2 linked regions of the Danio rerio genome follow. The protein of the gene in region 1 purifies or fractionates together with the protein of each later gene. This does not show direct contact. Links are inferred from orthologs where the notes say so. Each region holds a gene or a part of one and is shown on either strand. Other genes may lie near its edges.

What was found.
Region 2: the proteins of arrdc3a (region 1) and itcha purify together in Homo sapiens (co-immunoprecipitation; 5 studies listed by BioGRID and IntAct, counting the BioPlex papers as one, with this or other methods). This does not show direct contact. The link is inferred for Danio rerio from reciprocal best matches to the Homo sapiens genes ARRDC3 and ITCH.

What each region holds. Positions count from the first base shown.
Region 1 is NC_133180.1:53,050,487-53,062,187, reverse strand, and holds arrdc3a (arrestin domain-containing protein 3a), read left to right. Parts: upstream 1-294; 5' UTR 295-476; coding exon 477-756; intron 757-2,861; coding exon 2,862-2,943; intron 2,944-3,036; coding exon 3,037-3,184; intron 3,185-3,275; coding exon 3,276-3,378; intron 3,379-3,687; coding exon 3,688-3,944; intron 3,945-5,160; coding exon 5,161-5,323; intron 5,324-5,868; coding exon 5,869-6,011; intron 6,012-8,213; coding exon 8,214-8,282; 3' UTR 8,283-10,436; downstream 10,437-11,701. UniProt on the Homo sapiens protein: Adapter protein that plays a role in regulating cell-surface expression of adrenergic receptors and probably also other G protein-coupled receptors.
Region 2 is NC_133181.1:60,193,944-60,204,766, reverse strand, and holds the end of itcha (itchy E3 ubiquitin protein ligase a), read left to right. Parts: intron 1-3,454; coding exon 3,455-3,527; intron 3,528-5,455; coding exon 5,456-5,555; 3' UTR 5,556-5,710; downstream 5,711-10,823. UniProt on the Homo sapiens protein: Acts as an Acts as an E3 ubiquitin-protein ligase which accepts ubiquitin from an E2 ubiquitin-conjugating enzyme in the form of a thioester and then directly transfers the ubiquitin to targeted substrates.

The sequences.
Region 1 (11,701 bases):
GTTTTGATACATGTAACAAATGTAACAAACACATGGCACTTTATACAAAAAGTTAAAATAATAATGCAAAGCTAAAACTTGTGAATAACGTCTAGACTTCCACGTATTCTTTTAATACACTGCTCAGCTGTTCGCTTGTTATTTGTCCTGAGTCCCCGGTCAAAGAACTGCACAAAAAGCGGAAGAAGGGGGACGGATTGCAGCTTCGCGCATGCGCACTAACTTGTTTTTCACAAGAGCAGCGCTTAAAGTGAGCCGGTGGGGAGAATCTCCCCGTCTTTCATTGCAGACCATCAAGCCTTCGCCGAGACGTGATAACAGCATCCTTTGCTGTTATTCAGCTCTCGCATCTCAATGACACTATCCAGTGTTAACTCTTGCTTTTTTCATAAGAGATTATTTTCATAGACTTTTCCGTGTGACTTTTTTTTCTTGTTTTGTCTAAAGAACTTTGTACATTATCTTTTCTTGCCACCATGGTGCTAGGAAAGGTAAAAAGCTTCATTGTAAGCTACGACTGTCTTAATGACAGCAATGTCCCTGTTTTCTCGAGTGGGGACTCCGTCTCAGGAAGAGTTATTATCGAAGTCACCGGAGAGATTCGCGTGAAGTCTCTTAAAATAAACGCAAAAGGATTTGCGAAAGTTCGTTGGACAGAATCACGAAATGCTGGATCCAGCACTGCCTACACTCAAAATTACACAGAAGAAGTGGAATATCTCAATCATAGAGACATCCTAATTGGCCATGAAAGAGGTAAGCATGCCGATCAAACATGTAGATTTGTTCAGAAAAAGAGCAGATATGAATGTTCTGGTGGGATGCTCAGTGGTCCAGAATGACATGACATAGGCTTCTTTGGATGCTGCACAGTACTTGTTGACTGGTGAACCTGTAGACACTATTGTGTGCAGACATTTCAGTTCTTTTCACACTGTAATTATGCATTAATTTGCGGGACTTGATTGAGTTGTTTGTCAAATTAAAAACACCCAATATATGACATACGCATTCGTTCACAAGAACCATCTGGCAAAGATCATTTTCCGTTTAGATCTACCAAATGCGTGATGTTCAGCATCTCTTTTGTACTCTAAACAACATATCAGTATTCTCTCAGGTGTCAGCTGCTTGAATGAATGGTCAGTTTGCTCGTCTTGTACTACAGTTTTATTAAAACGATATTCGCATTCTGTGCTCTACCGCTGTATGTTGATTCTGGGAGAACAATGTTATAAAATAAATGCAGTACAAAGGCGTAATGGTACATAATTCGGTTTAATGTCTTAAGTTTCCACCCATTGTTAGAAGCGGTTCAATCCTGTTTTGATGCAGTGTCTAGTCGTTCTCTTCTCTGATTGGTGGAGGCGTCAACGTGTCTTCTATGACATCATGCTTTTGCGGAAAGTGGGGAAAACAGCAGCAACTTTGCACCAGTAGCTGTAGTAAGCAAGCGTACACTTATTATGGGGCTGAATTGAAATGCAGTCAAACGTTCATCAGAAAAAGGCCGACAACATATCTGCATTACTGTTCATTCATGGAGTTGGCCGGTGCAATTATAAAATCTAAAACGAACGTCCGATATCTTCACGTTGTATGTCTGTAAATACTTATTTGCATATTCATTAGGTCGGAAGTTTTATTGGCATTTATAGAACTCACGGCCTGGTTATAATAACTGATTCTTAGTTTCTATATGTTTGATCTGGCACCTTGAGTCACTCCAAACGTGCAAAAACGACAACAACTCAAAGAGACTCTTCGCATTCCAGTTTTTGCATCTGTACATGCTTTATGGATATTAATCACCAGACAGTTTAGTTGTCGTTTGTTGCCACACAACTTGCAACCACCGCTTTGTTCCACATTGTACTGCTGGCACCGAACAGGACTTCAACTCACATTACGAAATAACAAGTGGGCCAAACGTGGTTTTAGTAAATACAAATTGTACATGTTTTCCATAATATTTAGCTTGAGATGGAGAAACATTGTAATGTTTGCCTGTTGAAACTCTGTATACAAATCAGATAGTGCATGTTATGATTTTGTTAGTTGCATGCTTACTGTAATTTCAAAGAAATTAACTTCCTGTATATTTCGAATCGAAGTAATGTCTAATAATGTCGAAACAATGTCTAATTGTGACTTACTGCTTCTGTATGAATGTTTGGGTTACAATAAAGGTGAATTTGTTTTGGAAACTGATCGTTTTTCTGTCGTTTGTGATTGCTGGTGTGAGATTTTTTTTTTTCAATCTGTCATATTTTTCTCACGTGTTTTTGCTGAATGGGAGAAAAATACTCCACGCCGCAGCACACGCGTGCATTCAATGGGAGGCTTGTCCCTGCTGGTCCTGTGCGCGCGCGCGCGTTACCGCACACTGAATACGTAATGAGCGCGCCGGCACAGTGAAGCAGCGGGCTCCGGTTTAGGCCGGTCTTCTCTTGCTCGAGTCTGCCCTTGATTGACAGCTCCCTACTTGTTTACCGTGCCTCTGCTAAGCTGAATACAGTGCTGAGCTGGCGAAACGAAAGCCACCGGTGTTTTTCAGTGTTACACAAACAAATATTCGATTTTAAATGGTTATTTTATTTCACATTCACCTTCTTATGAACTGCCGTAGCGCTTATGAGTATTTTTATCTCCCTTTTAGAATAAACACATGTGACACAATGATTATACATGTTCATAATTCATGGGTGTTGAGGGTTTATGAGAATCAAACAACTTGGTTTATACATGTTCTTGATTTACAAGTATGCTCTTTGAATAAATTCAATCGTGTAATAAACAAGAAGATGATCAATGCTTTGGCAGGTAAGGTATATTTGGAATATTATTCTTTTCTGTTTCAGATGATGATAACTCCGAGGAGGGACTCACCACTATTCATTCAGGAAGGCATGAGTATGCATTCAGCTTTGAGCTTCCACAAACGTGAGTGGATGTGGCACCAGACCTAACATTTGTTCACCCGTTCTGTATGTCGTAATGCTTAATGAAATGTTTCTTTGTGTCGTGCACATGCAGACCTCTGGCTACCTCATTCGAAGGGAAGCATGGCAGTGTGCGCTACTGGGTAAAGGCTGAGTTGCACAGGCCGTGGCTTCTGCCCATGAAGACAAAGAAAGAGTTCACTGTCTTTGAACACATAGACATCAACACTCCTCTTCTGCTGGTGAGCGTTTGCATCATTTACATCCCTTTACTCAGCATTGGAGAATAACCATTATTTTGTATTCTAAAGTGTTGTTATTCTACTTTCACAGTCTCCGCAGGCAGGAACTAAAGAAAAGACTTTATGCTGCTGGTTTTGCACCTCAGGTCCAATTTCCCTAAGTGCCAAAATTGAACGAAAGGGTTATACTCCAGGTAAGCCTCCTAATAGTTTACATTTTCAATATTTTGCATCATACTAGGGTTTCTAAAAACTTATTTTGGTAATTGTTTATATTTTCTTCGATTTAACAGATTGAAATGTTTGTAAAATCTATTAATTGAAGTTACAGTTTTGTTATTCTGATTTTTATGTTGTATAAAATGACCAAAAGGCATAGTTGAATATATATATACATTTGTGTTTTTAATTTTATTGCCATTTAGTGCTTGTTGGATATTACAGATTTATTACAGTCTTTATAATTTATGGTACCTATAACAATACATTTTGTCTTCTCACAGGAGAGTCCATTCAGATCTTTGCTGAAATTGAAAACTGTTCCTCGCGTATGGTTGTGCCAAAGGCCGCCATTTACCAAACACAGACCTTCTTTGCCAAAGGGAAGATGAAGGAAATCAAGCAATTGGTGGCCAACATCCGAGGAGAGTCGCTTTCTTCTGGCAAGACAGAGACATGGAATGGAAAGATGCTGAAGATTCCTCCTGTATCGCCCTCCATCCTGGACTGCAGTATCATAAGAGTGGAGTATTCACTTATGGTAAGCCTTGTGCTTTTTTAAAAATGTTGTATTTATTTTAGTTTGTACAATTCCCTATCTTTTTTTTTATAACATAGTTTCAAACAGCTGAAAGATCGGTTCCTCGAAGGGCTCCTCCACACATGAAGCACTATGAATGATAATGAGATTATGCCAAGTTCTACCCGAACATACTGATAAGAAGATCAGCTTAGAATATCTAATGAAATTCAGGTCATTGAGTGCTAATGACCTATTAACCCTTCAAACCAATCTGTTACCGCTTTACTACTGTAATGGTCAGGACCAATGATGCTGACTTTTATATCTGAATATTAGAGTTTACTGCTTCAGTTTATTGCTCAATTCGTTGATATACTGAGAATGCTGAGAAGCAAACAAATTATTTAGTTTCTTGCCTTTTGGCAGAGGCTGTTCCTCTAAATTAATTGGAAATTCTCTGGCACAATGAAAAGGTCGTCCCTACTCAATTAAACAGGATCCTTGTATTCTTAAATGACTGAATTGACTTATGTCATGACATATTGATTATCATCCAAATATCGAGTCTGTTACAAGTGAGAACAAATGAGCTATGTACATTTTCAACTCTTCAAAAACTCAATGTGTATACCTATAAGTCTTAAATCTCATCGTGTTCTAATATCTTATCAATTTATGAAGAAAATAAAACACATTCTGTTTAACTTTGAGTACAGCTCTATACTAAGTGTAGAAGTACAGCGATATATAAAGAAGTACATGTTTATCTTTCTTTTTTTTTTTCATGTGCTAAAATAAATATTTTTAAAACAACCCGCAATCGTCCAGTAGTTGGCAGTGTCACTTATAAAGAAATACCATCGTACATTTCACCATTTTATATAAATAAAATTATATATATATATATATATATATATATATATATATATATATATATATATATATATATATATATATATATATATATATATATAACAAACTTGCGCTTTTAAACCCGCTTTCAGATTTTTTAAGCTTGTTAATTTGTAAATGAATATTCAAAATGCATAAAAGTTTTCTGTTGTCTGATATTTTAGTTTGGATGTAAAGTTTTACATACCATAGTTTTTTCATATTACTGCACAATACATGTTGTTTGCATGAGCTTTTGGATCTGTTTTTACTGTCATATTATTAAATCAACATTCACTTATTAAAAATAATTAACCAAATATCTCAATATTTTAATCTGCAGGTGTATGTTGATATCCCAGGAGCCATGAACCTGTCTTTAAACCTGCCCCTGGTGATTGGCACCATTCCTCTCCACCCCTTTGGCAGCCGTACATCTTCTGTGAGCAGCCAGTGCAGCATGACCATGAGCTGGTTAGGCATGGCCCTCCCTGAAAGGCCTGAAGGTAAGCAACATCTCTTTTATCTACTTATTTTTAAGGGATGTGTAAAGAATCGAGATTCTGCATATACTGTATGCAGCTCATATTATGGGATGCTTCTTAGACCACAGGCTAAGATTATAGACTGCTCTTCTAACTTGTGGCTTAGTGTTTCTATGAATAAAACATGCAATGCCCTATTTTTAATATTATCAGCCTTTTTTTTTATCTGAGCCTTTTAATGAATTATTTTTAAATGTGAATCCTTCAAAAATGATAGAATTCTTATCAAAAGTACATTCTAGTATACTGTTTTAGATTTTTATATTGTTTAAATATTATTTGTTTTCTTTTTATTGTTTTAAATCTTTTTTTATTATTATAGGAAAGTATCATTTGTCAAATGTGTCTAAATTTGATTAATTTGTGCCATGAAATGGTCTCTCTCTCTCTCTCTCTCTCTCTCTTTCATTGAATAAAACAGCAGTAGGGTTAGTTGAGTGCAGACAAGAGATGGGTAACGTGGTTGGCATGACAACAGTATTAACATTGGCTTGTATTGTCCTCAGCTCCTCCAGCCTATGCAGAGGTGGTCACAGAAGAGCAGAGGCAGAACTGTCTGGAAGTTTCGCCGGGGCGGGAGAACTATGATGGCCCGCTCTTCGCCTACATCCAGGAGTTCCGCTTTCGCCCTCCCCCACCCTACTCTGAGGTAAGCTTCGGGTGTAGTTTTGGCAGCTAAAGCTCTGTTTGCAACCTGTATTAAGGTGCTTTTTGTGGATCTGATCACAAGTGGAAAATGGAGGCACTTTACACCTCACACCTGGTGTTTAATTGTGTCTATTTTGTCCTTACTTCTAAGACGAGGGAGGGTCTTTTGGTGGGTATTGGCAGGTGTCTGATCTTTCTACATAATACTTAAACAAATGATGCAATTTTCTTAATTTGCAAGAATAAAATCACATTAAATAAGTAGTCTACTTTATATAATGATAGATAATTGCTTTATATTATTACCAGTTAACTCCTATTAGGCCTGCACACCTTATTCTGTTTTACAGTTTAAACATAGTTTTCATTTTCTTTATCTAAAATTGGTTAGGCGAATATATCTAAAGTAGGATAAACTGCTATGGATCAGGAATTGATCACTAGAAAAGATTATTATCCAACACTTGCATTATCCAAAGGTTTTGAGGCTTTAACTGGAGTCACTGAATGTTGCTTTGAATAGAGTAATATTGTTAATTACATTTAAAGCTTATTTTATACATAGTTCAAAAATCTATTTTCCAGTCAAATACACAGACCTTTTTTGTGCTAAAGGAAATTATTAAATATATAGGGCCCTATCATACACCCTGCGCAATAAGACGCAAGATGTGTTTGGCGTATTTTGTTGCTATTTTCAGACCAGCGCAACCCTAATTTTTATGCTTTGTGCCATGTTGTTTAAAAAGCAAATTCATTTGCGCTATTTTGTAGACTTAATGGGTGTGCTGGTATATAAAGTATGTGTGTTAAGGCGCATTGTTGGTGCGTTGCTATTCTGAGAAACTAAAATAGACTGCGCTGTTGACAAAGTAAAAGCTGTAGTCCAGCGCAGAGCGCATTAGTTATGCACCTATGCAGGTTCAAACACTTAATACATATATATATATATATACGTATATATATGTGCGTATGTGTTTGTTTAGTGCTGTCTATGTTTGTGTATGTGTGTGTGTGAATGAAAGACAGTGTGGTGCTGTGTATGTGTGTGTGTGTGTGTTTATACAGACAGCTTGTTATAGCCACCCCCCAAAATACAACACTGTGTATGGAAAGCATTGTCAACAATGCACCGTTATGCACCGAGATATCGAATTGAACCGAATCGATGGCATTATAATCGGAACCGAACCGTGAGACCAGTATAGGTTCACAGCTCTATATATATAAATATTAATGATTGAAAAAAAATGTTATTTAATACATACATATAAAACCATTGCCTCCATGCCTGTCGAGTTTTTTTTTTTTTCAGTTTATTCCTGAAAATTTGCATTTTTATTGTAATGTTCTTTTTATTATCAGTAGTAGTATTATTTATTATATGCATATTTTTGTTTTAATTAAAACAAGTTGTCGGGTTTTGGAGACGTCTGCATCACCATATGGGCCCTTATCATTATTAATTTATTAGTTTCCTGGAAATTAGAACTGAATTTAGTAATAGTTTTAAAACAAATCTTTGCTCTTAACAAACTAAATTAAATATGTAGACTAATGGATGTCTTTAGTGGAGTGCATGCAACACCGTTTTCTTATCCATGAAAGTGAAGAGTAAAAGTAAAGATGCCAAATGAAGGAGGGTCATTCTTTATCCTCATGCTGCAGATGGTCTGTTAAACTTTTTTGGCTAGTTAAGCATTCACTTTTTCCATTCAGTTTTTGCACTTACAAAGTCTGCAATGTAAATGGCAAATGCGCCATGGTGCGATGCAGCTGACTCTTAAAGTAGATGGGAAATGAGAATGTGGGAGATTGGTTTAATGCTCAACACCCACTCATAATCTATTAAGAGATTAAGCCCAACCCTCTTAGACCACGTACCATGGCGCAAACCATATTTTTCTGTCCTTAAATTAGCAAAAATGGATTTGGACATGCCCTTAATGCTTTTGCGCCATGCAACATTGCGCCTAGATCGTTTAAACAGAACCCATTGAGTCTAATAAGAAATCATTCTACTTCGTAATGTTTGAGCAATCCGGTCAAATGCACGTTCAAAACCTTTCACACCTGTACTTTGCATTATCTACTTGTGATCAGATACACATTGTGAACTAGGCACAGTATATTGTTATTTTAAACAGGTAGCAGCAGTGTTGATATGCATTCATCTCACAGCCACTGTTTCCTTCTCTATCAGATCGATCCACATCCAGATCAAGCCACATCAACTGCAGAGCAGAGGCTCGACACCTGCCCATCACGCTGAAAAATGCATGGCATGAGTCCAAAGCAGTTGGGCTTGAGGATCTTTCACTTTTGTTTATCTCCCGATGACAGCGATTGCTCGCTCTGCTGTCACCACTAAGAGAAAACAAACCTCTATGGGGAAAATCCAGAAATAAGGGCGCAGGAAGTCACTGGCAATTTACCCGACCCAGAGATTTGGCCCCCGTGGATGGTACACGCCCTGTCGGACTAAGCCTGCGGAGCTTTGTCAAAGTAGTCGATTTTCTCACACTTTTCAGTAAAGGTTGACAAAGAACACGCAGACCTTGTCCGAGATCTGAAGAGAAATGCAAGAAAAAGCAGCCATTGGCAGAACAGCCGAGAGAAGCGCATCATCTATAGTTTTGGACTTCTTTTTGCACAAGTTTCCTCGCTTGAGTTTGAAAATCACTCATTGTTTTGTTGTTTTCAACATCTTGGGGTGAGCCTATAAGAAGTTTTGCTTGAGCTGCACAACTTGCAAACAGCGGATGGATTTCGAGGAAAAAAAAAAACAGACTGATGTAATGCACTGATCTGGTTTAAGCTCTAGTTTTCATTGATCGTCGATAATCTGCTCTTGCTGTCTAAAAGCTCTTGCGATGTTGCCTGGCCAACATGAGTGTGGCTTTTGTTTTCCGTTCTCCTGTTCACATGGACTTTATTTTGGGTTCTAAATGTAGAATGCCTTTAAGCCAAACATGGTTTGCTTGGTGTTAAATTTGTTGCACATTTTGTTTGGTGGAAAAGCAACACTCTGTTCTTGCCGCTCATGTGCGCGATCGGAACAGAGAGATAAAACAGGGTGGGGTTCAGGCAGGCTGCCTGGAGAGTCTGTTGCCTTTCTGTGTAGCGTTTAGCAGTGCAGGCTTGGAGATTGCACTGCCTAAAAAATAAGCACTCAGTCTCAGGTGATCTTCTCACTTGCCAAATGGTGAAAACAAAACAAAGTAAAAAAAAAGTCTAGCTTATGTTTCAGTTGCACTGTTTCAGTTCAAGGAAGGAACTTTAGAAGGAAAATCAGATTCCATATTGACAAACTGATTCAATAAAGACCGAAGATATGCACAAAGATGACGAAGAAGGCAGCTTTCAAAGACTTCTAACATTCCCTTTTTGTCCTGCTACACTGGCAGACTTACATTAGCTTAAATGTTTCTTCAGACCAGTGAAGCCAGAAATGAAACAGATGAAGGCACAAATGCTTAAAAAGGCAAGCAGAAAGAGGACTCTGGATCTCGAAGTTGAAATGAGTTGTACATTTGTTTTAAAAACTCTTTCGACTAAATGTAGTTAGGCTCTGAAAATTCTTGGCCTTCATTAAGCACTTTTTTTACTATGTCTGGATGAGGTCTGGAGAAAGTTTGGCATTTAAACATTTACCAATGTAGATATGTAGTGTTTAGATTTGTAGTCCTAGTATACGTAGACTGATTCAGCATTTCGTTAGCGGCCTTGATAGAGAACTGATCTTAACATGATTTATCATTTACGTTATCCTCACTAATCATTATCTCGTCGTCTTTTACTCCTAGAGTTACTGTTTAGTTCAAAAGGACAAAAAGGGAAACCAAAAAGTCCTTTAAAGCAAGCATTGATTATGACACTTAAAAAAAAAAAAAGTTTTAGTTTTTAGTTATGGGTTCTGATGAATACCGTTGGGCATTCAATGTTTGTTTTCCACACAAACAATTTAATATAGATCTTCTCGTCACCATTATTATGGGAACAATAGCTGTAGCACACCTCAGAGAAAAAAGGACTGAAGAAATGAATCTTCTCTGTTGTGTTTTATAGTTGAAGCACAATTGGGCACTAAAGAAAGAATAAGCTTCAACACAAAAAGGAAAGTGCTTCTTTTTTGTGGTTGGTCAATAACACTATAGTCTAACGCTTGGCCTTCCGTGTAGTCCAATGTTAAAGCTAACCTCTTGATTCTGTCAGGAAACACCATAGCGGAAATATGGTTTGTTTTAGAATTTAAGTGCAATATTTTCCAAGTTTTTTTTTGGTCTCAGTTGTATAATTTGTCTTATTTCATTGTGATTTCATTTCTGCGATCGTTATGAACATTAAATAATGACTGAAATATGTGTTCATAATGGTTTAAATTTTTGTCTTGGTTCTTCCTTGGAAATAAACTAAAAGTCCTTAACTTGTGTTGTGCCTTGTTTAAAGCAGATTTCACTTTACAATGATGATATTAGTGCTGCACATTTTAAACTTCAATACCTCTTTTACAATATACACAGTTCAAGTCAAAATTATTAGCCCCCCTCTTTAATTTTTTTTTTTTTTAAATATTTTTCAAATGATGTTTAACAGAACAAGGTAATGTTCACAGTATGTCTAATATTTTTTTTCTTCTAGAGAAAGTTTTATTTGTTTGATTTCGGCTAGAATAAAAGCAGTTTTTAATAAAAAAAATAAATAAAAAAACATTTTAAGGTCAAAATTATTAGCCCCTTTGAGCTTATTTTTTTTTTTCGATATTCTTCAGAACAAACGATCTTTACAATAGCTTGCCTAATTACCCTAACCTGCCTAATTATCATAGTTAAGCCTTTAAATGTCACTGTATAGAAGTGTCTTAAAGTATCTAGTCAAATATTATTTACTGTCATCATAGGAAAGCTAAAGTAAATCAGTTATTAGAAATGAGTTATTAAAAATAATATGTTTAGAAATGTGTTGAAAAAAATCTCTCTGATAAACAAAAATTGGGGAAAAAATAAACAGGGGGGACTAATAATTATTACTTAAACAACAGCGCCCTCACAGGCCGTCCTTGTACTTGCACTATAGCAGTCAATTCAACAACCTACAATTTCCAAAATTTTGAGGTCACTGCTTAGCCTTGTTTGAAGTCGACCTGACAAGATTAATAGACCATTTTTATGCACATTTTATGACATACATATATTATGAAGCAATATTCCTCCTGGTTTCTACTTGTTTTGCCCTCTGTGGCTCGGAGGATGAAAAGGGCTAAACATTCATTCATTTTCTTTTTAGCTTAGTCCCTTTATTAATCAAGGGTCGCCACAGCGGAATGAACCGCCAACCCATCCAGCATACGTTTTACGCAGCGGATGCCCTTCCAGCTTCAACCCATCACTGGGAAACACCCACACACTCTCATTCGCACTTATACAGACAATTTAGTCTGCCCAATTCACCTGTACCACATCTCTTTGGACTTGTTGGGGAAACCGGAGCACCTGGAGGAAATCCACACGGCCACAAGGAGAACATGCAAACTCCACACAGAAATGCCACCTGACCCAGCCGAGGTTCCAGCGACCTTCTTGCTGTGAAGCAATCGTGCTATCCACTGCGCCACTGTGACACCCCGATTATTTAATAAATTTTTTTAAATAATAGAATGTTTATCCTGGAGACTCAAAATCTACCAGCGCT
Region 2 (10,823 bases), on another chromosome or scaffold:
CAACAGAAGGAAGGATCCAAATGCAGGTTTAATCGTAGTCAGGCAAGCAATGGTCAATACAGGTGTAAACAGATGTATGAGGGCAATCCAGAGTCGAAGTCAAAATAACAGGCAGATGGTCAGAGGCAGGCAGCAAACAGAATTAAATAAATAAACAAGGCAAGGATCAAAACACGGCAAAGGCAGACAAAGGAAATGTGTTGTAATGTCACTATCAGTAAACTTGACTCGGCAACATGTGTGTGGAAAAGAGGGGTTTAAATAGTCCAAATAATCATTGTGTGAGTGGCTTCAGCTGACTGGGTGTTGTAGTCCATAACATGGCAGATATGTAGTTCAATGAGTGTGAATGTTTGTGCGTGAATGTTTACCAGCGACATCTGGTGGTTGTTCGCTGGTGAACATGACAGTACCATACATATAAGGTAAAACTTGAACTAATCTAACAAAAAAACTGAAGATCACATTTCATATATTTGTACACCCAAATTATCATGTTGGGGGAAAATATAAATGTTTTAAAAATATTAATAGTTCATTAAATATTAATTCAATGTAATAAATAAGAAAATCAAGAGAGACATAAAATATCATATTAAGTTGAAATTTTGTAGTTTGTAATTTTTTTTTTTTTTTTGCAATAACTCTTTTGAATTGAAATGTATTATTTTTCTTTTATTGTCTTTCTGTGAAAAAACAAAATTCTGTTTCTGAAAAAAAAAACAGTTTAATAAAACTGATTTGTTTAAAGGGTCATGAAACCCCTCTCTTTCGGTTTAAGTCTACCTCAGAAAATGCTCAAAAAATGCTTCGAGATGGGCGTGGAGCTCTGCGGGCAGAGGGTGGAGTGGGCGTGGCCGGCAGAGGGTTGTTGCTAGATTGGATATGGTTGCGGTTGAAGTTCATTCATTCATTCATTCATTTTCTTGTCGGTTTAGTCCCTTTATTAATCTGGGGTCGCCACAGCGGAATGAACCACCAACTTATCCAGCAAGTTTTTACACAGCGGATGCCCTTCCAGCCGCAACCCATCTCTGGGAAACATCCACACATATACAAACACACACACTCAAACACTATGGACAATTTAGCCTACCCAATTCACCTGTACCACATGTCTTTGGACTGTGGGGGAAACCGGAGTACCCGGAGGAAACCCACGCGAACGCAGGGAGAACATGCAAACTCCCGGTTGAAGTTAACAAGAAATATTTACATTATTTAATAAATTTCCCATTTGTTGTATTTTATTAACATCTACCCCAACCCTAAACCCAGGCGTTACAGTAACGTATCTTAAATGCTGCTTAACACACACACACATCTGTTAAAAGACTCCTGACACATGAAAGTGTAAGTCTGCAGCAAACAACAAAGTTAAAAACTTATTGCGTGCCATATTTAACAAACTATTTCCTTTGATTTTTATGTAATTTAGCTCACATGGATAATTGAACATTAATCAGATGATGTCATTACGCTGCTGTGCTGTCAGCCAATCATTGCATTGCTGATCATGATTTTGAGGATTGATTGATCAGTCGTTCCCAACACACACATCGATCTCAGATCAGTTCATCCTGACATTTTAATCTGATTCGCGAACTTGTTTGACGAACCAAATTAGCCAAAGATCAGTTATTAAGATTAAAAGATCCAAGATCTGCCAAATCATCTTAGATCATTTAAGCGAGGTATGAAGAGCGTACCCCAGCTCTCAGAACACAGTAAACATAGTAAATGTCATTATCCGCACACACTTTATAATCTGCTGTTTTACTCCACAGAACTCCATATAAAGACCAGAAACATGTTTGCACAGGCCTATGATGATCAACAGTAACAATAACAATGCCACACATTATTTTTATTACAGTAACATTGTACCACACATTGTAACACATTGAACAGGGAAAACCACCAACAATGAAGAATGCATGATTACATGCTGTCATGGGTGTGCAGTCAAAAAATGTGATTATAATGGAAGTCAATGGGACAAAAACAGCCACCAACATAATGAAAGGGTAGTCAATTAGAACAGTACACAACACAGAAAGAGCATATATTTCTGTGCAAATATTTATGTTTGTACACCATAATTATCATGTTGGGGGAAAATATAAATGTTTTAAAAATATTAATAGTTAATTAAATATTAATTCAATGTAATAAATAATAAAATCAAAAGAGACATAAAATATGTTAAATTCTCAAAATAAGTACTCCAGGGTGTCCTGAACCTTTAAATGCACCAAAAATTATGGATAGAAATATTTATTTTTTAAAAGGGAGTGTACATATTTATGCTGAAATCATCTGTTTTTATCATTCTTAGTTAATAAAACTTGTTCTGAAAATACAAATAACAAATAAATAAACAAAAATGGCAAGTGACAGCATTTTTGTATTTAAAAAAAATGCAAATTATTTTTTCTGAATAATAATAAAAACAAAAAAATACCATATTATACACACACACACAAAACTATAGTTCTTATAATCATAATAGATGCTTAAACATTGACAGCCGAACATGCATTATGTGCATTTCCTGAAGCTGCAGAAAAAAATGTAACGTTTAGGGTAATCAAAATAAAGGAGATCAAATTATTACTAAATGTTAGGAAAATGAAGGGCGGCGCTGTGGGTAGCGCTCTCACCACACAGCAAGAAGGTCACTGGCAGGGCCAGCCTCTGCAGGGTCAATTGGCATTTCTGTGTGGAGTTTGCATGTTCTCCCCATGTTGGCGTGGGTAAAATAGTCTCCACATACTGTCTACTATACAAAAAAATGAAGCCAAACATCTTGGACATGACCATAGCCATCTTCTGTTGATGATGTCAGGTGGAGCCAGAACTGACTTCAGGTCAAGCACTGGAGCCGCATCCAATTGTTTACCCAGAGAAACCACTACTCACATCTTGTTTTGTGTTTATAGATTTACTTAATTTTATTTAGATTTTTAACAGATTACATGTAGTATATTTTAATTCCTATTTATTTTGAAACCTGTAACTATAGACTTCGATAGTAGGAACAACAAACACCATGCAGGCCAGTGGTTACAGGTTTCCAGCATCTTTCCAAATGTCTTTTGAAGAAACTCATAAGGTTTGGAACAACTTGAGGGTGAATGAATGTACAGATGTTTGTCGGGACGTATGTAGTGTATGTATGTGTGTGAATGCAAGAATATATGGGTGTTTCCCAGTGTTGGGTTGCAGCTAGAAGGGTATCTGCTGCGTAAAACATATGCTGGATAAGTTGGCGGTTCATTCCACTGTGGCGACCCCAGATTAATAAAGGGACTCAGCCGAAAAGAGAATGAACGAATGAATGTAAGGAAAATGGTTTAAATGCCATGTCGGTGCTTTTCACCTCATGTTGAAAAAAATATTAATATTGATAATAATCGGGAATATTAATCAGATTGTGTTTTTATTTTTGCAGGCAGCAACGGACCGCAAAAGTTTTGCATTGAAAAAGTGGGAAAAGAAAACTGGCTGCCGAGGAGCCACACATGGTAAGATCAGAAATCCTAATATTCATCGTTTTTTATGATGCATTATCAAATGCTGTTCATCAGTAGACATAACTGAGCAGCAATTCACTCATTTCTGCAAAACTCCCAGACTAAATATGTGGCAGTCAGAAGTTTAGTGGATGCAAACCGTGATTCTTTGTACAGACAAAATGATTCGCCCTCCTTTGGAATTATTATAATATTTTTTTATATTTCGTAAGTTCTGATTAACTGAGAGATTGATTTCTACACATTTTTAATAATGATGGAAAATGAATGAATACTGTGAGAGGTTCTTGCTCTGTTAAAAAGAAATGCCAGCAGCTGGCTCTCTGCAACTCTCACATGGTCGCCCACTGAAGCTGTGCAGGGCTGCGCCCGGTCAGTACATGGATGGGAGACCACATGGGAAAGGGATAAAGCCTAGTTCACACCACAGGATTTTAAGCCTGATTTTAGCCCGATTAACGAGCTCGCTGCTGGATCGGGCTGTGATCGCGAAGAAATCTGCGGGTGCTCGGCGCTCGCCGCTCTTTATGTGTGAACTACTGAACAACACATCAACGAGGCTTGCTGACGCGTCGCCGACACCTCGCAGACGGAAATCCAATATTCAGCATGCTAAATATTCCAGAGCAGTCAGGCGACTCAACCCCACGTGTGGTCAGATGTAGTGACGAGCTGCAGCCAATGAGAGAGCAGATCAGCATGAGCTGAATGCCTGTGTGTTAAGGAGCTCAGCAGAAACATCTGTGATTGGTCAGAATGGGCATCGATGCACTCGCTTCATTCTGCGTTAGTACAGACATGAGAGGAGGATATATTAACAGTGGAGCTAGAATTGTGTAATTATTAGAATTACCATACTGCTCATTCTGACCGTTCTCATATAAAACGCCATATAGCACAACATATTTACATTCAAAGCTTCTATTGAGATAATAAAATTAAGCTTTGAATGTCTGGCATCACATTTAATGACACCATTACCCTAAAAATATAATCTTTTTTGGTAATACAGCCTATAAATATGTAGTTAAGCTACTGGAACACGCAAAGGCTTGGCTTTCATTTCCACTTTCAAACAGGAGCTATTTCACAGCACAGAATATGCAGTTTTGAAAGATATCTGAAGTAAATTGATGTTTTTGCCATCAGAAAGTTTTGTTTATGTTAGCAGGAAGTTGCTAGGCAAGAAAATGCACACATATTTAAAGTCACATTAAAAAGTATCAGACATGCATGCAGTCATTTTGACCAATATGGTAATTTAAGGCAGAAATGCTCAGTTCTTTACTGTTTTGTAATTAAAAAAATAACAATGTCAGAAAGAAATACACTGATAGTTAGAAAACGGCAGGGTGTTATTTGTTAGTTTATTTCAAAGAGTTATAAAATTACAAAAATTAAAAACTCTCTGTGTATCTATCCACTCGAACATGCAGATGAGTGATTGATCCGCTGATGAATCCGCTGATTTGATGATGTTTTTAAATGCTTCTGCCAATGATTGAAACGCTGTCAGAGGTGTAATCAGCACACAAGCAGCCAATAGTGTTCAGCTTTTTCTGATGACTCCTCCCTCATAATTTCATTGGCTGTGGTTTGGTAGCTTGAATGAGCTGTTGGGGAATGAGTTGTTGTCATGTAGTGTGTGACCCCCCTCTTGTGGATCGTTCACGGAGTGTTGCGTAGTGTGAACACCACAGAGATTAAAACACACAAAGTCAGGTCATGTAGTGTGAACGGCACAGTGATCTGCTGATGTTTAAAATCCTGTAGTGTGAACTAGGCTTAAGGAGATTTCTCCCCCCTTGTGTACAGCGCTGTTAGTGTCTAGAAGAGTGCCTTATAAATGTCAGGAATTATTATTAATCAATCATTTTGTCTCTGTATATATATATATATTTTTTTTTTGACTCCACCAGCTTTAACCGTCTAGACCTGCCGCCCTATAAAAGCTATGAACAGTTAAAGGAGAAGCTGCTCTTCGCCATCGAGGAAACAGAAGGTTTCGGTCAGGAGTAAAGCATGAAAACATCAGCTCATAATCACCATCATATCAGAAGCTGCTACCGAGAGATCAGCAGTGTTTTCCTGGACGCTCTCCTCATCTCTCAGCTTTCTGTTTCTCTGATTTTCTCGCCATTCTGATTTTATACTGCCTTAGTTAAAGATCTGCGATGAAACAAACACTTCAGCTCGCTCTATGCACAAAACCTGCGTCTCAACATGCAACAAACTCTCTCCTTTCGCTTTTTTTCTTGAGCTTTGAGTTTGCATGTCATTTTTAGACACAGAGAGGTAGGATGCGTTGCACTTTATTAGTAAAACACACACACACACACACACACACACACACACACACACACAGGCGTAATATGCAACAGGTCAAACTTCAGCTCACAATCCAAAGAAGTTGCTGATGTAATTACTGATTGCATGGTGAAAAATGAAGCCTGTTTTACATTTTACATTAAAACTTGACATTATAATGCTATAAATGCTGAGTTTTTGTCTTGTTTCTTGTTTAAATGTTGAAAAAGTCTTAAATTAAGAGGCTTTTTCTTGACAAATAAACATGATTGTGATGTTTTTAGAAATAATATGTAAAAATTAAGTAAGTTTTTCTTTAAAACAAGCTTAATAATCTGCCAATGAGTTGAGTAAAATAATCTAAATGCAAAACATTAATTTGCTTTCACCTATGGCAGATTATTTAGCTTGTTTTAAGGAAAATCCCTCTTTATTTTAACATATTACTCCTGAAAACAACACTAGTTGTCTTGAAAATGCTCCTTTATCGCAGTATTTTTAGATATTTGAGCTAGAAACAAGTCAAAATAAGTAAGAAAGCATTTTTGCAGTGTCCCGAAATGCAATAAAATTCCATTCTCAATTCATTATTGTTTAAAAAAAACACAATTGCAAAAAAATAGGCTTCATGTTTAATGGTTTTTTAATGTGAAATAAACTTATTTTGATTTTCACCATGAGCTGTGACCTGGAAATGCCTACAGAGATGACATGTACGTACTGTATGTGGTTGAATTCACAACAATAGCAATATATTTCGAATAAAAAAAAAGACCAAAAATGCAATTTAATGTCATCAACACAATCCACTGTTAGAATATTGCCATTCCTGACAGTCATAAACTCACAAACCACTTGACTAAATGAACAATCTTAGCTGTTTTAGTGTTCACAAATCTGCAGCTAGCACTCTTTTTATACCTTTAAAAAACACACTAGTTTATTGGTCACACTTTACAATACACTACCTGATAAAAGTCTTATCGCCAAGTTTTAGGAATAACAAATAATAACCTCTAGTTGATCATTTGGTATCAGAAATGGCTTATAGAAAAGGCAAAAGCCTCTAGATGACGCTTATTTGAGCACAATAAAATATGATCATGTCCAGTATAGAATATAAAGTCCTGCTGCAGTGGAGACAGAGTGAATTTTGTGTCTGACTCCATCATGAGCTTGGAGGACTGCATCCATACATCTCTGACATGACTCAAATCACTGATTAATAAAGTCATCTGGAATGAAGAAGAAAACCTTCCTGCAGGACTCCCAGAGTTCATCAAGAGTCTTTGGATTCATCTTCAACACCTCCTCCATTTTACCCCAGACATGCTCAATAATGTTCATGTCTGGTGACTGGGCTGGCCAATCCTGGAGCAGCTTGACCTTCTTTGCTTTCAGGAGCTTTGATGTGGAGGCTGAAGTATGAGAAGGAGCGCTATCCTGCTGGAGAATTGTCCATCTCCTGTGGTTTGTAATGTAATGGGCAGCACAGATGTCTTGATACCTCAGGCTGTTGATGTTGCCATCCTCTTGCACTCCCCCATACTGAATGTAACCCCAAACCATGATTTCTCCTTCACCAAACTTGACTGATTTGTGTGAGAATCTTGGTCCATGCTGGTTCCAGTAGGTCTTCTCCAGTATTGGTGATGTTTGGGTTGCAGCTCAACAGACGATTGATCTGAATAATCCACCGTCTGACACTTTTCCAAATGATCAGCTAGAAGTCAAAATATTTTTTGCAGCTCTTACAACTGGGATCAACGACAAGACTTTAGTCAGGTAGTGTAGGCTTTTATTATTTAATGTATTTATTAACATGAACCAATAATATTTGTTCAGCATTTATTAATCATAGTTCATCATTAAATATTGCATTATTAAAATAAAATGTAAAAAAATAAATAAATGCATGAATTTACTTTAATTAACTATCATTATCAAAGAGGAATAAACACTAATAAATGTATTGTTCATGTTAGCAAATACATTAAATAATATTAAGTAATATTGTAAAGTGTTACCACATTCATTAATGCAAAAAATAAATAAATAAAATGTTCTTTAATTAAAAAACAACGATAATAAAAATAAAAAAATTGAACATTTAACATTAATAATTTAAAAAAATAAATCAAATGTGTGTTTGTGTTTGTAGAGATGTTGCAGAATTTATACTGAAGATTTAGGCCTGACGTCATGGATATTCAGTGCATTTCAGTGGTCTGTTTCTTATTCAGATGCAAAAAATACAAAATCCAGGACTGTAAATACTAATATACTGTTAAAAAAAAGGATTTGAGCAAGCTGAATGAGACATTTTCCTTATATTTGCAATTTAGAAAATGATTTTGATTCATTTACAGCAGGAGTGTCAGTCCTGAAGGGCCGGTGTCCTGGAGAGTTTAGCTCCAACCCTCATCAAACACACCTGATGCAACTAATCAAGCTCTTACCAGTTAAACGTTCATCGACTTTTGCTTTAATATTTAAAGGGCTAGCATTGCACCAGATCCCCTTAAGTGGTTTCGTTTGAAAGTGTAAAATCTATATTTTCTGCACATATGCATCACTTTGTTTTTTATTCTACTGTACAAAAGTTATTTACACTTAAATACAAAGTATTTTGAATATCCAAGCTGGGTATTTTACATTGGTTCATTTTCATATTTTTCATATGACACATGTACAAGTTATAGCTCAAATGAAAGCTCTTGCCGGTGCTCATACGGTTCTTGCATTCTTTTTGCTGAATTATATTCACATATCAAACAGTTGCCGAATGAATCGCGGTGTTTCCATGGCGCAGAAGTGAAAACAATACATTTATGATCAATAAGCAGCCCCAGATAGCACAGACAGCTGTCATCTCTTACCTTATGCTGTGCGCTTCAGGGCCATTCTCCTCTGTTTTTGAGCTGATGTGCATAAGTAATCCTTTTATATGTCTGATGTGCTCCAAACACAGTGAATTATGTTTGATCAAACAAAAGAATAGTGAAATATGAAAACAATGATCGCTCCCTGTGGCTTGTACAGCACCTCTCATCAGTTGGAACACAATAACTTTTGCATAGATTATGGTGGAGACATTTTTCTTTTTTCCTATGATTACAGACATGTGCAGGAACCACCAACATTACTTACAGCACGCTAGACCACACACAACCTAAAAGGTACACTTTCAAATTTGAGTTTATGAAAAAAAAAATACAAAAAGCGCCTCTTTTTTTAAATTTTTTATTATAGCACAGACAATATATAATGTTATTTTAAACACTTTTAATAGTGTTTAATGAAAATTAAAAGGGTTTTCTTTAAAATGATACCAGATTTTTGCATTTACACCTCTGCATGTGGATTTGGGAAGCTTTTAAATTTGGATAGGCAAAATCCAGGTGGAAATCTCAAAATAGCAGCAGAGTTTAACTGGTTATATATATATATATATATACGCGATACCTTCAGGCAGGTGTGTTGAAGCAAGTTGGAGCTATAAACTCAGCAGGACACCGGCCCTCCAGGACAGAGTTTGGACACCTCTGGTTTACAGGTTTTTATGCTGGAATTGAATCCATCAGGCTCTGCTTTATTCTCTTCTGTCTCGCTCCAGGGCACTTTATTTTCTAAATATCAGATGTTTTGCATTAAAATAAATGTAAAAAAATAAATGCTGATGGATACAGTCCATCTGAACGACGCACATCTGATGTTTAGTGTCGTTGTTGTGGTGTCTTACAGCGTTTTGTAGCTCTTAAAAGGCCAGACGTGTGGCTTCTTTATTTTCTTAACACTGTAAATCATGTTTGCCTGTGATCTACAACACATTAACGTTGATTTCATGATTTGGATTATATTTATTTTTCTTAAGTGAATGTGTACAGTTGAATGATTAATATAAGAGTACTGTTTTATTCTCAGCTGATGAAATAAAAAATAAGAAGTGCAATATAAATGTGTTGCTTCTTTTATTCTTGCTATGCTGTTGTCATTTGTTTATTTATTACACGACCTGAATTAAATATCCATTCAATTGGCTTTATTTTGGGGAAATGAGTTAGTAAAAAGCAGCAGATGTTATATTGAATTTTAAGATTTGTTTAGCTGTTATTCATATGCATTAATTGAAAGATAATAATTAATATATAATCATTCACACTAATGTAAAGTAACACATTACAAATACTCAAATTACTGTAATTGAGTAGTTTTTCTCAGGAATTGTAATTTACTAAGTCGTTTTATAAATGTGTACTTTTACTTTTACTTACTTTTTACTTTACTTGCATTTTTAGTGCTGCATTGGTACTTTTACTCCACTGCTTTCCTTCAACCTGCAGTCACTACTTTATTTATTCTTGTCTATCGGGATTGGCTAAAGTAGAAAAATCAGTCATGTGATTTCTGTCCAGTCAATTCACACAGAGAAAGTAAATTGCATCATACTGAACAAGCTCAAGATATTGGCACTTTATAAATGCAGTCAAATTTTGGATGCATTAAAAATGTCCAAGAGATGTCTAAAGTCTTTACACGCAATAACCCAGAGACTGTTTATAGACTGCATGTCACGGATTAGATAATGAAGGATGTCGACAGTATGATGACTGAAATCACCAAACAGCCTTAAACAATTACTAAATGGACCGAATGAAGAAAGGAAGGAAGGGTTTGAATGAAGGACTAAACTAGTGAAGGAAGGACCGAACTAATGAAAGAATGACTGAACGAAGGAAGGAAGGATCAAACTAATGAAGGAAGGACTAAACTAATGAAGGAAGAAAGGACCGAAGGAAGAAAGGACTGAACTAATGATGGAAGAAAGGACCAAAGTAATGAAGGAAGGAAGGACCGAACGAAGGAAGGACTGAACTAATGAAGGAAGGACCAAACTAATAAAGGAAAGACAGAACAAAGGAAGGAAGAACCGAACTAATGTAGGAAGGAAGAAAGGACCAAACTAATGAAGGAAGGACT